Linked DNA regions of Cricetulus griseus. The protein of the gene in region 3 purifies or fractionates together with the protein of the main gene of each other region. This does not show direct contact. Links are inferred from orthologs where the notes say so. Each region holds a gene or a part of one and is shown on either strand. Other genes may lie near its edges. The genes, in order: Max, L3mbtl2 and Tfdp1.

The links.
Region 1: the proteins of Tfdp1 (region 3) and Max purify together in Homo sapiens (affinity purification with mass spectrometry; 5 studies listed by BioGRID and IntAct, with this or other methods). This does not show direct contact. The link is inferred for Cricetulus griseus from reciprocal best matches to the Homo sapiens genes TFDP1 and MAX.
Region 2: the proteins of Tfdp1 (region 3) and L3mbtl2 purify together in Homo sapiens (affinity purification with mass spectrometry; 4 studies listed by BioGRID and IntAct, counting the BioPlex papers as one, with this or other methods). This does not show direct contact. The link is inferred for Cricetulus griseus from reciprocal best matches to the Homo sapiens genes TFDP1 and L3MBTL2.

The regions. Positions count from the first base shown.
Region 1 is NC_048598.1:126,569,182-126,572,830, reverse strand, and holds part of Max (protein max), read right to left. Parts: intron 841-3,649; coding exon 733-840; intron 1-732. UniProt on the Homo sapiens protein: Transcription regulator. Forms a sequence-specific DNA-binding protein complex with MYC or MAD which recognizes the core sequence 5'-CAC[GA]TG-3'. The MYC:MAX complex is a transcriptional activator, whereas the MAD:MAX complex is a repressor.
Region 2 is NC_048595.1:378,810,865-378,814,513, reverse strand, and holds part of L3mbtl2 (lethal(3)malignant brain tumor-like protein 2), read right to left. Parts: coding exon 3,649-3,649; intron 2,431-3,648; coding exon 2,297-2,430; intron 1-2,296. UniProt on the Homo sapiens protein: Putative Polycomb group (PcG) protein. PcG proteins maintain the transcriptionally repressive state of genes, probably via a modification of chromatin, rendering it heritably changed in its expressibility.
Region 3 is NW_023276807.1:67,450,138-67,453,886, reverse strand, and holds the start of Tfdp1 (transcription factor Dp-1), read left to right. Parts: upstream 1-1,070; 5' UTR 1,071-1,198; intron 1,199-1,887; 5' UTR 1,888-1,950; coding exon 1,951-1,962; intron 1,963-3,749. UniProt on the Homo sapiens protein: Can stimulate E2F-dependent transcription.

The DNA.
Region 1 (3,649 bases), on a different chromosome or scaffold from region 3:
TTTGCTCAAAGCTTTTGTTTTTTGAAGACAGAAACAGCTGGCTCCTGCCTCTCCAGGGAAAAGAGCAGTTTCTAAAGGCCTCTAGGGAGAATGGGAATGGTTTCCTTTTACTTCTCTTTCATATGAACAAGTCTCTTAACTCTTGTTCCATGGGTTACAATGCTTTTTACACATCTTGGGAAGAGTGGCTGTCAGGGTTGGAAATCACTGGTGCCCAGGCAGGTTCACAGCCCTGCCTGCAAGTGTTCATTTACACTAAGTACTAATGCTGAACTGAACAAGACCGATTCCCACAGAGGTTTAGGGGATCACTGGCCCGGAAATCTTTAGTGATCACAAACTAATTATGGACCAAGTTATACACTACAGTACATAGGTATATAGTTATGATAATGTCATGAATGACTAATTTATCTGCCTAGCATGACAAGGTCCTGGGTTCAATCCCCAGCACCACCAAAGAAACAAGTAATTAATGACACGTATCTCCAATTTTGCAAGGCCACTTTTTAGGGATGTCTCACAAACACCTCTATTACAAATGATGTTGTTTTTGCTAAAGATAATCAAGAACAACTGAGATATGTGAGAATCTTCCAGAGAATCAAAAACATAAAATGAAATAAATAATAAAAACAGGAGACCGTGCCACCTGATTGCCTTTCTTCACAGAAGGGAGGGCTGTCCTGTTCCAAGCTACTGGTGGGCCAACTGATTTGTCAATAAACTCACCTTTTCTCCTTGGAGTGACGGGACCGAGTCCCGCAAACTGTGAAAGCTGTCTTTGATGTGGTCCCTGCGTTTTCGTTCCAGTGCATTATGATGAGCCCGTTTGTCAGCCTAGGAGAAATGAAGACAGAGCATGTTAGGAATGCCACTCCTTGTCCAGGTGGATGTGGTAAAGCCTGGAAGTGTGTGCAGTCAGCGCTGTCCCTGGCAAGTGGACTGAGAAAATTTGCAGAGTGAGATGGACAGTTAGGAGTCTCCAGAATTAGGCTCTGTTAAAGAGGGAGAAAGGGGTGAGTAAGGCTTGCAACAGGAACATCCAAAGTAGCACGGTGGATCCAGCTCATGCACAAGTAAAACCGAAGTTATTCAAGGAGACAAAGTGTGACTCTCCTGCAAGTGTCCCCAACCTACGTGATGGAGCAGTTGCCAGTCTGTGGTTGCAATGTAACTAAAGAAAGCTCCAGTGGGCTCCTTCCTAAGATATGGTTACTCTACCATGAGACTGGGGGGCGGGGGTGTACTTCTGTCCACTTGAAACCTACCATCCAAGGCTCTGCTACAGGTCACCAACATACCCTCTCATCAGGTCATACAAGAGAGCTCCAAACCTCTGGAAAGCCCAGTTGCATTTGAGGTTATTATGACATAGCTGACAGATGTGCCAACTGCACTTGGGTTTCCTCTCACAAGGCTGAGCCAGAGAGGCACTTTTTGGGTAGCAGACCTTCTGACACATACATGCTCTTGGTAAATTTCCTCATGCACATGCAGCAGGTCTGGCCCATTTGGCACTTTTCTAAATACCCTAAGCAGCCTTTAACCTTTCCTGCTTGGAATTATAAACAGTCTGCTGGTGAGGCTCAGGACTGCCAAACAATCAGGAAGGGGAAGGCAGCAGAGCACCATGCTGGGGAGCACTGCCAAGGAGCTTCATCTCCCTCTACACAGAACACAAGGACTACTTGAGCAAGAACTTCACCACACCTCTACTTCAGGAATTACAGAAATACTCTTGAGCATTTCCCCAGACTAGAGCAGGCTGTGCTGAGCTAGCCTAAAGAGCCTGTCTGCACATTAGAAAGTGACCTGGCTAGTAAGCCCAGACAGAGTACCAGGAATTTTGGAAATGCAACAACAAGCATAAACTTGGTTTGACAATGCCATTTCCACTGAATCCTTGTACTAGAAAAGATGGGCAGACAGAAATCAGACAAGAGCAATGAGAAGAAAAGGATTAAAAATTCTTCTACTATCAAATTCTAAAACCTAAAAGTCTCTGACTCCCCCCAGGGGAAGAGCCTGGAGACCCTGTAGACTGTTTCCCTTCTGATTTCTCAGAAGCCTCACCTACAGTTCTGTTAAATGGGCACACGTTCCCATCACAGTCACCATCTTGAAGATGGGGCACAAGCTGGGAGGATTCCTAAATTATCCTGTCTTAAACCTCAGTTCACTGTAAAGCAAAGGATTTTCTTAACTAGTCATATAGAAAATAGAATGAGGAATCCGAAAGGACAATTAAGCTTGGAAAACCAGGTAACTTGAGGGTAGAGGTGTTATCACTGTATTATAAAATACTAGGGCAAGCAAGATAACCACAGCTGCCCTCTCAGAGCAGTGTAAATTAAGTTAGCTTGAAGGAACTACATGTCAATGCCCAGGTAAACCCGCCTGTCACAATACTCGAGGACAGAAGAGATCTAGGACAACATTTGGCATGCACTAGGCCTCTGGTGTTTACTCTGTAATTTTCAAGATGGTCTATTTACATGCAAACCAATTGCTCAGCTTTGGTCTTCAGCAGCAGCCTAAGATACTCTGTCTACTAAATCACCCTGACTCCTGGCCCTCCTCCCAGCTTAAGAGCTGTGCACAGAAGCAGTGATACCAGCTACCCACAATGCCTCTTGCTGATACAAATAAAAATCCTAATTGTCTGTTTTCTTTCTGGGAGAACCCTGAAAATCTCAGGCAGTTAGAACTAAGATGGACTTGGTTTTCTGAGGGCCTGTGCTGTAAGCAAGGAGCTAAGTTGAACCTAACACCGCTGTCATCCCCAAGATGTACCACCCCTCCCATCTGCTGAGCACTGAAAGGACTCAGACGGACAACAGTCTTTTGGTTGGAGGACTGTAGTGAACTTGGCCATAGACCACGAGCAGAAATCTCGGCTTCTCATCTGGGGAGTCAGCCAAGTTAGAAGTTGGCTCAGCTAGGAAAGGCAGCAGGCCACTGCCTGGTAGAAAGCCTGGGCTGGGGACTGTTGTTCTCCAAGCAGTGGATGGAATTTCTGTGGTGGTTCCAGACCCAATTTAACTAGCAGAACGGTGGAATCTTAGAGCAATCCCTCCTGCATGTCTATCCCTCAGCTGTTATGCCTGAACAGAGACAGCCACAAGGATCTATTTGTTTTTCCTTGTCCCCAAGCCTCATTTGCAAGCACACGTGAAAAACATGCGGAACTCACATGCCTAATTCCAGGCAACTCTGAATGAAGTGGCATTTCTAGTGCTTACAGAGCATAGGAAAACTTGACACACCTTCACACAAGGCTGAGAGTTCTCTCTGGAAAGTATTTCTAAGCTGCATGCGAGGATGGTACCCCCAGCCCTGCATGCTGGGCCAGTGGCTGACTAAAAGATTGCCTTGTTAGCCAAGTTCTCTTGTTGACAAGCTCATTCCCAAAAGGCCAAGATTTCAGAGTTGAGAAAGAAAAACCAGGTGAAGACTCTCAGCGTAAGGTGCTAGAGATCCTCCCGTGAACTCTTTACAGCAGTGCAGCAATTACAGTAGTGGAACAAACAACTCAGATGAGTGTTAGTGCGCTCTCTCTCTCTCTCTCTCTCTCTCTCTCTCTCTTCTCTCCTCCCTCCCTCCCTCCCTCCCTCCCTCCATCCCCTGTACTGTCTGGTCATGCAAA
Region 2 (3,649 bases), on a different chromosome or scaffold from region 3:
TTGGTCCAGCTAGTTAACTTTCTTTGAGCTGGAGTTTCTTTTGTAAAACTGCTGATGAACCAGGTGATGGCGGCACATGCATTTAATCCCAACAGAAGCAGGCAGATCTCTGTGAGTTCAAGGCCAGCCTGGTCTACAGAAAGAGTCCCAGGACAGCCACAGAGAAACCTGGTCTCAAAATACACACACACACACACACACACACACACACACACACACACACACACACACACACACACTAAAATAAAATAAATAAAAATACTGATTATGAGAGAGAACACTCAGGAGATGGTTCCAGAAGGATGGGGTCAGTGGTGCTGCAGATGAGGGAGAGACATGCATGCATCATTCAGACCTTTGACTTCTCAAGAAGCCTCTCCCTAACATTTTCCTGCAGTCCTCTCCATGTTCCCAGCTCCCTGGAGAGCTACAACTGAGGGGCTGCAGAGCAGCCAGAAACTCTCCAAACCCACCAACATTTTGTACATTTGCAAACATCCTCCAGAACATTATTGAGAGCTTTCATCAGGGCTCAGGGAAAGCTCACTCATACAAGATAATTAATTAAGCAACAATACAAAGGCCAGGAGTCCACCCAATATACCAGATAAGCAGAGTACACCTGCACTGAGGTCTGTCCCTAAAGCAGTGGTTCTCAACCCCTTGGGAGGGGGCGTGTCAAACAACTTTTTCACAGGGGTCAAATATCAGATATCCTGAATATCAGTCATTTACATTATGATTTTTTTTTTTTCGAGACAGGGTTTCTCTGTGTAGCTTTGGAACCTATCCTGGCACTCGCTCTGGAGACCAGCCTAGCCTTGAACTCACAGAGATCCGCCTGCCTCTGCCTCCCGAGTGCTGGGATTAAAGGCATGCGCCACCAATGCCCGGCTACATTATGATTTATAACAGTAGCAAAATTAGTTATGAAGTAGCAACAAAATAATTTTATGGTTGGGGTCCCCACAACATGAGATATTGGCCAGGCCTTGGTGGTGCATGACTTTAATCCCAGCAATCAGGAGGCAGAGGTGGGCGGATCTCTGAGTTCAAGGCAAGGCTAGTCTACAGAGTTAGTTCAATGACAGCACTACACAGAGAAACTCTGTCTCAAAAAATAAAACAAAATGAAATGGGGGGAGGGGAGAGAACCCCAGGAAGAACTGTATTAAAGGGTTGCAACATTAGGAGTGTTGAGAACCATTACCTTAAAGTCACCATAAATTTTTTTTTTTAAAGATTTATTTATTATGTATATAGTGTTCTGCCGGTATGTCAGCCTGCAAGCCAGAAGAGGTTACCAGATCTCATTATAGATGGTTGTGAGCCACCATGTGGATGCTGGGAATTGAACTCAGGACCTCTAGAAGAGCAGCCAGTGTTCTTAACGTCTGAGCCATCTCTCCAGCCCCATAAATTTTTGAGCCTTTCAAAATAGGAATTGCTAGTTGGGTGTTGGTGGCGCAAGCCTTTAATCCCAGCACTCGGGAGGCAGAGGTAGTCGGATCTCTGTGAGTTCAAGAGTGGTCTAAGAGTGAGTCTACAGAGTGAGTTCCAGGACAGGCTCCTAAGCAATACAGAGAAACCCTTTCTCAACAAACCAAAAACCAAAACCAAAACAAAAACAAAAACAAAAAAAATATGTGAACTGCTGGACGTAGTAGGCATACCTTTAATCCCAGCAATAGGGATGTAGGGGAGAAAGTTGTGAATCTGAGACCAGCCTGGTCTACATAGTGAGTTTTAGGTCAGAGCTACACAGTGTGACCCTGTCTCAAAATAAAATAAGGGGCCGGGCAGTGGTGGTGCATGCCTTTAATGCCAGCACTTAGGAGGCAGAGTCAGGCAGATCTCTGGAAGTTCAAGGCCAGTCTGGTCTAAAAAAACAGTTGCAAGGCAGCTAGGGCTGTTACACAAAGAAACCCTGTCTCAAAAACAAACAAACAAACAAACAAACAAACAAAAACAAAAACAAATAATTAAATTAAATAGGGGTCTGGTAAGATGGCTCACTGGCTAAGACTACTGGCTGTTCTTCCAGAGGATCCAGGTTGTTTCTAGCACCTACACAGTGGCTCACAACTGCCTCCAGGTCCCAGGGCACCTGACAGCCTCTTTTGGTTGGGGGGGGGGGAGGAAGGAGTGGGTGGAACTTTTTGAGGCAAGTTCTCATGTACCGCAGATGACCACTATCAATGAGCTCCCCAAACTAACTAAACTGTCTGCTTCCAATCATGTCATGGCCCAGCTCAGCATCTGGGACCTCGAGAAGTGTGTGAGTGGCTGCTCTCACCTGTAGTCTAGCCAAGATACTGGCTTTCTTGGAGTTGGAGGAGTAGCTCCTGGAACACGAGACGCTGCAAAACCTCTTGGTCTTTGAGAAGAAAGCATCCCTTGTGCCCACGATACCACACATCTCACAGACAGCTGGAAAGAGACCTTGACATAATCACTTTAAGTCGAACAAAACCACAGGCTCCTCAACCATGTGAGTGTTAGGCTTTAAGGCTGATAGAGTGAGAGGAGGAGGTGGTGGACAGTGTGTGGAGTTCTCTTCCAAGAGCAAGTCTCACTACCCTCAAATTTGTAGGTTCAATAGACCCTCTTCCATCGGCATCTCTAGCAGCTGGGACTACAAGTGTGTGCAGCTCCATCTAACCTCTTAAGATGATATGTGGTTTCCTTTGGCTCTGTATCAAAATCCAGTGCTAAGGGGCTGGAAATCCACATGAACAGAAACTGATCAACAAGTTTTAGAAAGAGGAAATTGATAAGAGAAAAGGTGCTGAAATCACTTAACATTTGCAATTCCTTGCTCTCACAGGGAGTAAGTGGACAAGCTGTGTCTGTCTGACCATATTAGGTCACTCAACAGTGCTGTGGCCTGGGCTCCAGTGATACAGCATCTAAAGTGCTTTCCCAGCTTCCCAGATGACAAATCTGCAGCCAGGGTCACGAACCAGCCCCTAGACTAGCTGTTCTCCCTAGTGATCCCTGTTAGTATTCAAGTTCTCAGATTTTGAGAAGGGCTAGAAGACAGCAGGGAAAAAGATGGGGAAAATGGGGGAAGGAGAAGCCAAGCTGATTGGAAGGAAATCTGACCCTACTGCCAAAGAGTACAAGTATGAAGGAGGGAGAGGTGCTGTCCACAGTTTGGAGCCTGCCTCTTTTCAAGGACATACTGTTCACACTCTAGAAGCCCTTACACAGGGTCTGTCAGTCATCCAAGAACCACCTCTTCCAAGTCAACTGGCTTCCAGAAGATCCTAGGCCACTACCTTTTGCCCACCTCCATACCTGCCCTCTGACATGAAGGTCACTATCCCTACAACTTTCCAGCTTGCAGCCCATAAGCTTAATGCACTCACATCGTTGAGTGTCTCATGGTCTTCACAACACACTTAGGGACTACCAGGTTACTCTCACTAAGGTAATGGCATCTAGATGTGCTGAACAGACACGAGGTATCAGAGAATTATACTGTGAAACTAGACCGCAGGAGAGGAAATGGCCTTCGAAGACAGTCCCTTACAAGACAGTCCCTCACACATCTATATGGCTCTGCCCACATTGCCTATGTCCATCCATGCCCGATTCCTCCACAGACTCCTGACTACTCTCCATCTAAGGACACTGTGAAGGCACC
Region 3 (3,749 bases):
TTTACCCAAACCATTTGGACTGATTTGGGAGGCCTAGCCTATTCTCTTCCCAGGCTCTCCAGCTTTAGTCCTAAGGTAGAGGTCTCCAATGTGGACTGTCTTCAGGCCTCAGGGTCTACCAGACCCCTCCTGGGATGAAGCCTACAGACTCTGAAATGACAGGAGCAAACACCCTTTCAGGATGCTTCCTGCCCTGAATCACTGACAACCCAAGTTCAGGCCATGTGGCTGTGGACGTCAATAGCTGAATAGTGGCAGGCTCTCTATGTCTCTGCAGTGTCCAATACGTGTGTGCATCCCAACAGTCTTCACTATGGCCTGTGTAAATGTACAAAACTCCTCTGCTGGGGGTGCACATACAGGTACGTTAAGGCACTCCTACAACTGACCTCTTTTTCCTCATGCGCACATAGCTGGCCCCTCTATTCGTACACACATACCTGTATTCTGTGCAGACATTAAACACAAATATACATAGTTGTATGTACAGGGGGTTTTCTGTATACATGTTCAGGCGTGCACGCCCGACTCATACTCTGCATATGCACGTGTATACAGCTATACTATCTGCATATACACAGGTGTGCCCACGTTACTCTTCTATGTGTACCTGCAGGTATGGCACACACCACAGATCTTTCTCCGTTGGCAGGTATCACACACACACACACACACACACACACACACACACACACACACAGACACACACACAGGCAAACACGTGGCCCTCTATTCCCTGCGCATGCACACAGATATGCATTCAGTTGGCCCTTGGTGTACACACAGAGGCGCGCACACACGTGGCCTCCATGCGCACATGCAGGCGCGCGCAGCACTTTTCAGTGCGGGCGGTCTCCAGCCGAGTCCCGCCGCACGCGCACGCGCGCACAGGCCCCTCCCCTATCCCAGGGCGGGTAGCACCGGCGAGAGGCGCGGGAGATGAGCGGCGGGAGGAGGAGGAGGAGGAGGAGGAGGAGGGCGCCGAAGGCGCGAAAAGGCGCGCAGGCGCGCTGCGCGGAGCGGGCCCGCCGCCGCCCACGTCACCGCGCCGCGCGCACGTCACGCCGGCCCGACGCTCGGCCCAGGGTGAGCCCGCGTCCGGCGCCGCTGGCTCAGGGCAGGGACCGCCAGGGCCGGACCTCCGGGCCGGCGCCCCCGCGCCCCCGTCGTCGCCCCGCGCGCCCCGCCGGCCAGCCAGGTGTGGCGGGGGCGCTGGCCGGCCGAGCGGGAGGGCGCGGGCTGGGCGCGCGGCCCCGTTCCCGCCCCAGCCCGGTTCCCGCGTCCGGCTGCATCCCGCCCGCCACCCAGCCTCAGCCCGGAGTCGGCCTCGACGCGGCGTGGCGTGGGCGGCGGGCAGGGGTCCTGGCCACCCTCCGGCTTTCTCCGCGCCAGCGCGCGGGGCTTGGTGGCCGGGCCTAGTGACAGGTGGGGCGGGCGGCGGGCCGGGAGCCCACCTGTCAGAGTGGTCGGCGGCTCCTTGGGGTCTTGGCAGCTCGAGGGCCTGCTGCGGCCCGGGGTTTGCCACGCAGTGTCGTGCCTAAGCTGGGGGCCTTGTGCCTCGGTGGGGCCTGTGGTCAGACGGGGCCCGCGCGCCCAGGTGGGGTGAGCCTGACGGCTGCGCCTTACTCTGCCAAGGGGTTGGGGTCTGGACCCTCTGCGAGTGGGAGCTGCTGGTGGCCGCAGGGAGCACTTCCATTTGGAGAGGTGACTTAAAATCCCCGTGTGGGACCTGCTTGGCTAGCTCTCCTGTCGGGATTGTGCAAGAAAGGCCCCTGCTGCCTGGAGGCCTGCCTCGTGCTGGTGGGGAGATGTTTCCTTTGAAATGCGATGTCTGTTAAACTTCTTTTTTCATTCTCTCTCATTAATTGTCTCCTTCCTTTTTGCCAGATAAGTCCGGTTTTTTCTGTGGCGGGTACGCAGTTACAGCCTTGATTTCCTGGATCTGGTAACATGGCAAAAGATGTAAGTATGATTGCTTCGTGCTGCAGACATGTTAGCTCACTGCTCCTTGCAGTTTTCTCTATGGCCGTGCGTGCATGGCCGTGGTTTATCCTCACATTTTACACGCAGGAGCTGGGATGGAGGTGAGGGATGGAGAGTCAGTAGGTGGGTGCCTCCCCCCTGCACAAGTGTTCTTTGTCATCTGAAGACTGACACGTTATTTGTGGTTGGATGATGTGGTCTTGATTTTTCCCTTAACCTATCTAGACAGTTTAAATTAAAAAAAAAATTGAATACACCTCTCAATTAAAATGAATGTGTGAGGGGGGTGTTGTGTGTTAGTGGGTTTCCACTCAGGACAGCTGTCAACATGGAACTTAGGCTGTACTTGTTTTATGTAGTACGCAGGACCGTAATTCAACTTTGATGGATTGAATATCAACAACTTGTTTGGGCACATTTTTCTCAGAAAGATGACATCTGGTGATTAATGAAACACGGTGGAAATGCTGGTTGGTTTAGCTTTATATTTATCTTGAAGCTACTGGATATTTTGAATAATTTTTTTTTTTGAAACAGATATGGAGAGTTAGGCTTTTAGGCTGCAAGATATAGTCTCTGTTGTTGGTTACATATATTTTTGCAATATCATCCTAACTCCTTCCAGCACTAATGATCTCCTTTTCAGTGTTCCTCAGCATTCACTGCCCTGTGAATGTTAGATTCCTGTATTTTCTGTGCAGCCTGGGAAATGCAGGCAGACGCGCTACATCATCTAGAGTTGTGCTCAGGTGTAGTGTGGCTGCGTCTATGGTGTGGGGCCAGGTACCGGTGGGTGCTGTGTCCTGTCCACTGACTTGAGGACTCAGCTATGCTTAATGATCCACATGGGTCAGACGGTGCCACTCTCCCTGTCATCAAGCACTTGGCTTGGGCCTGCTCTTTGGAGTTGTGTCACACCCTAGGAGATCTTGTATAGGTCACCTGAAGTCACAACCATATATGATACTGGCTTGATCTTGTTAGGTCCAGTTGTTTATCTACACCCATGTCCCCACTCTTCTCCATATGTATGCCCTAACATGTATGTGTGGGCTCAGCACATGCCCACAAAGTAACTAGATTTGGTAAATGGTTTGTAAATGGGATACTGGCCCCCATGCCTTTGTTAGGTCATGGTACTGGCACGATATTATTGCATTTTCAGTGAGCCAGCATGCTCAGAGTTTTGTCATTTTAGTTTTGCATCATTCACTCCCTTTCCATGTGCTGTGTCCCTGGGGAAAGGGGTGGTGCACTGTGAGGACAGGTGGTCAGGATCTCCCATCACAATGAGAGTCTGAGGCCAGCTGGTTTGGGGTTATCCATTGTGGTGTGGCTGGGCTGGTGCAGTGACTGAGTAACAGGGTGCTGGAGCTGACTCTCATCACCACACATATTCACACGCCACAAGCGTCTTCCCCAGTCAGAGGGGAATCAGAGACTGCAGACAGTCAAGGGTTGGGCCGTTCCTGTAGCCAACCATGTCTTTATATAGGATACGATACTTGTGTTTCAGAGAGGGACATTGTAGTCTGTGCTGAAGGAGAGGAAGTAGGCACCACTGAGTTTTCTAAGCACTTGATACTGGGGATGAAATCTAGCTGTAAAGTATAGCTGGACACCTGTGAGAGCAGAGGGGCTAAAGTCAAGCTCTGGGTCATGGAAGAGGACCAGGAAGGGTAGAGAGAAGACAACAAATAGCTAAGGGGCTTTCTGCCCCAGCAGATGCCCAGGCAGATGGGCAGGTGAGGGTTCCCTGTGAACTG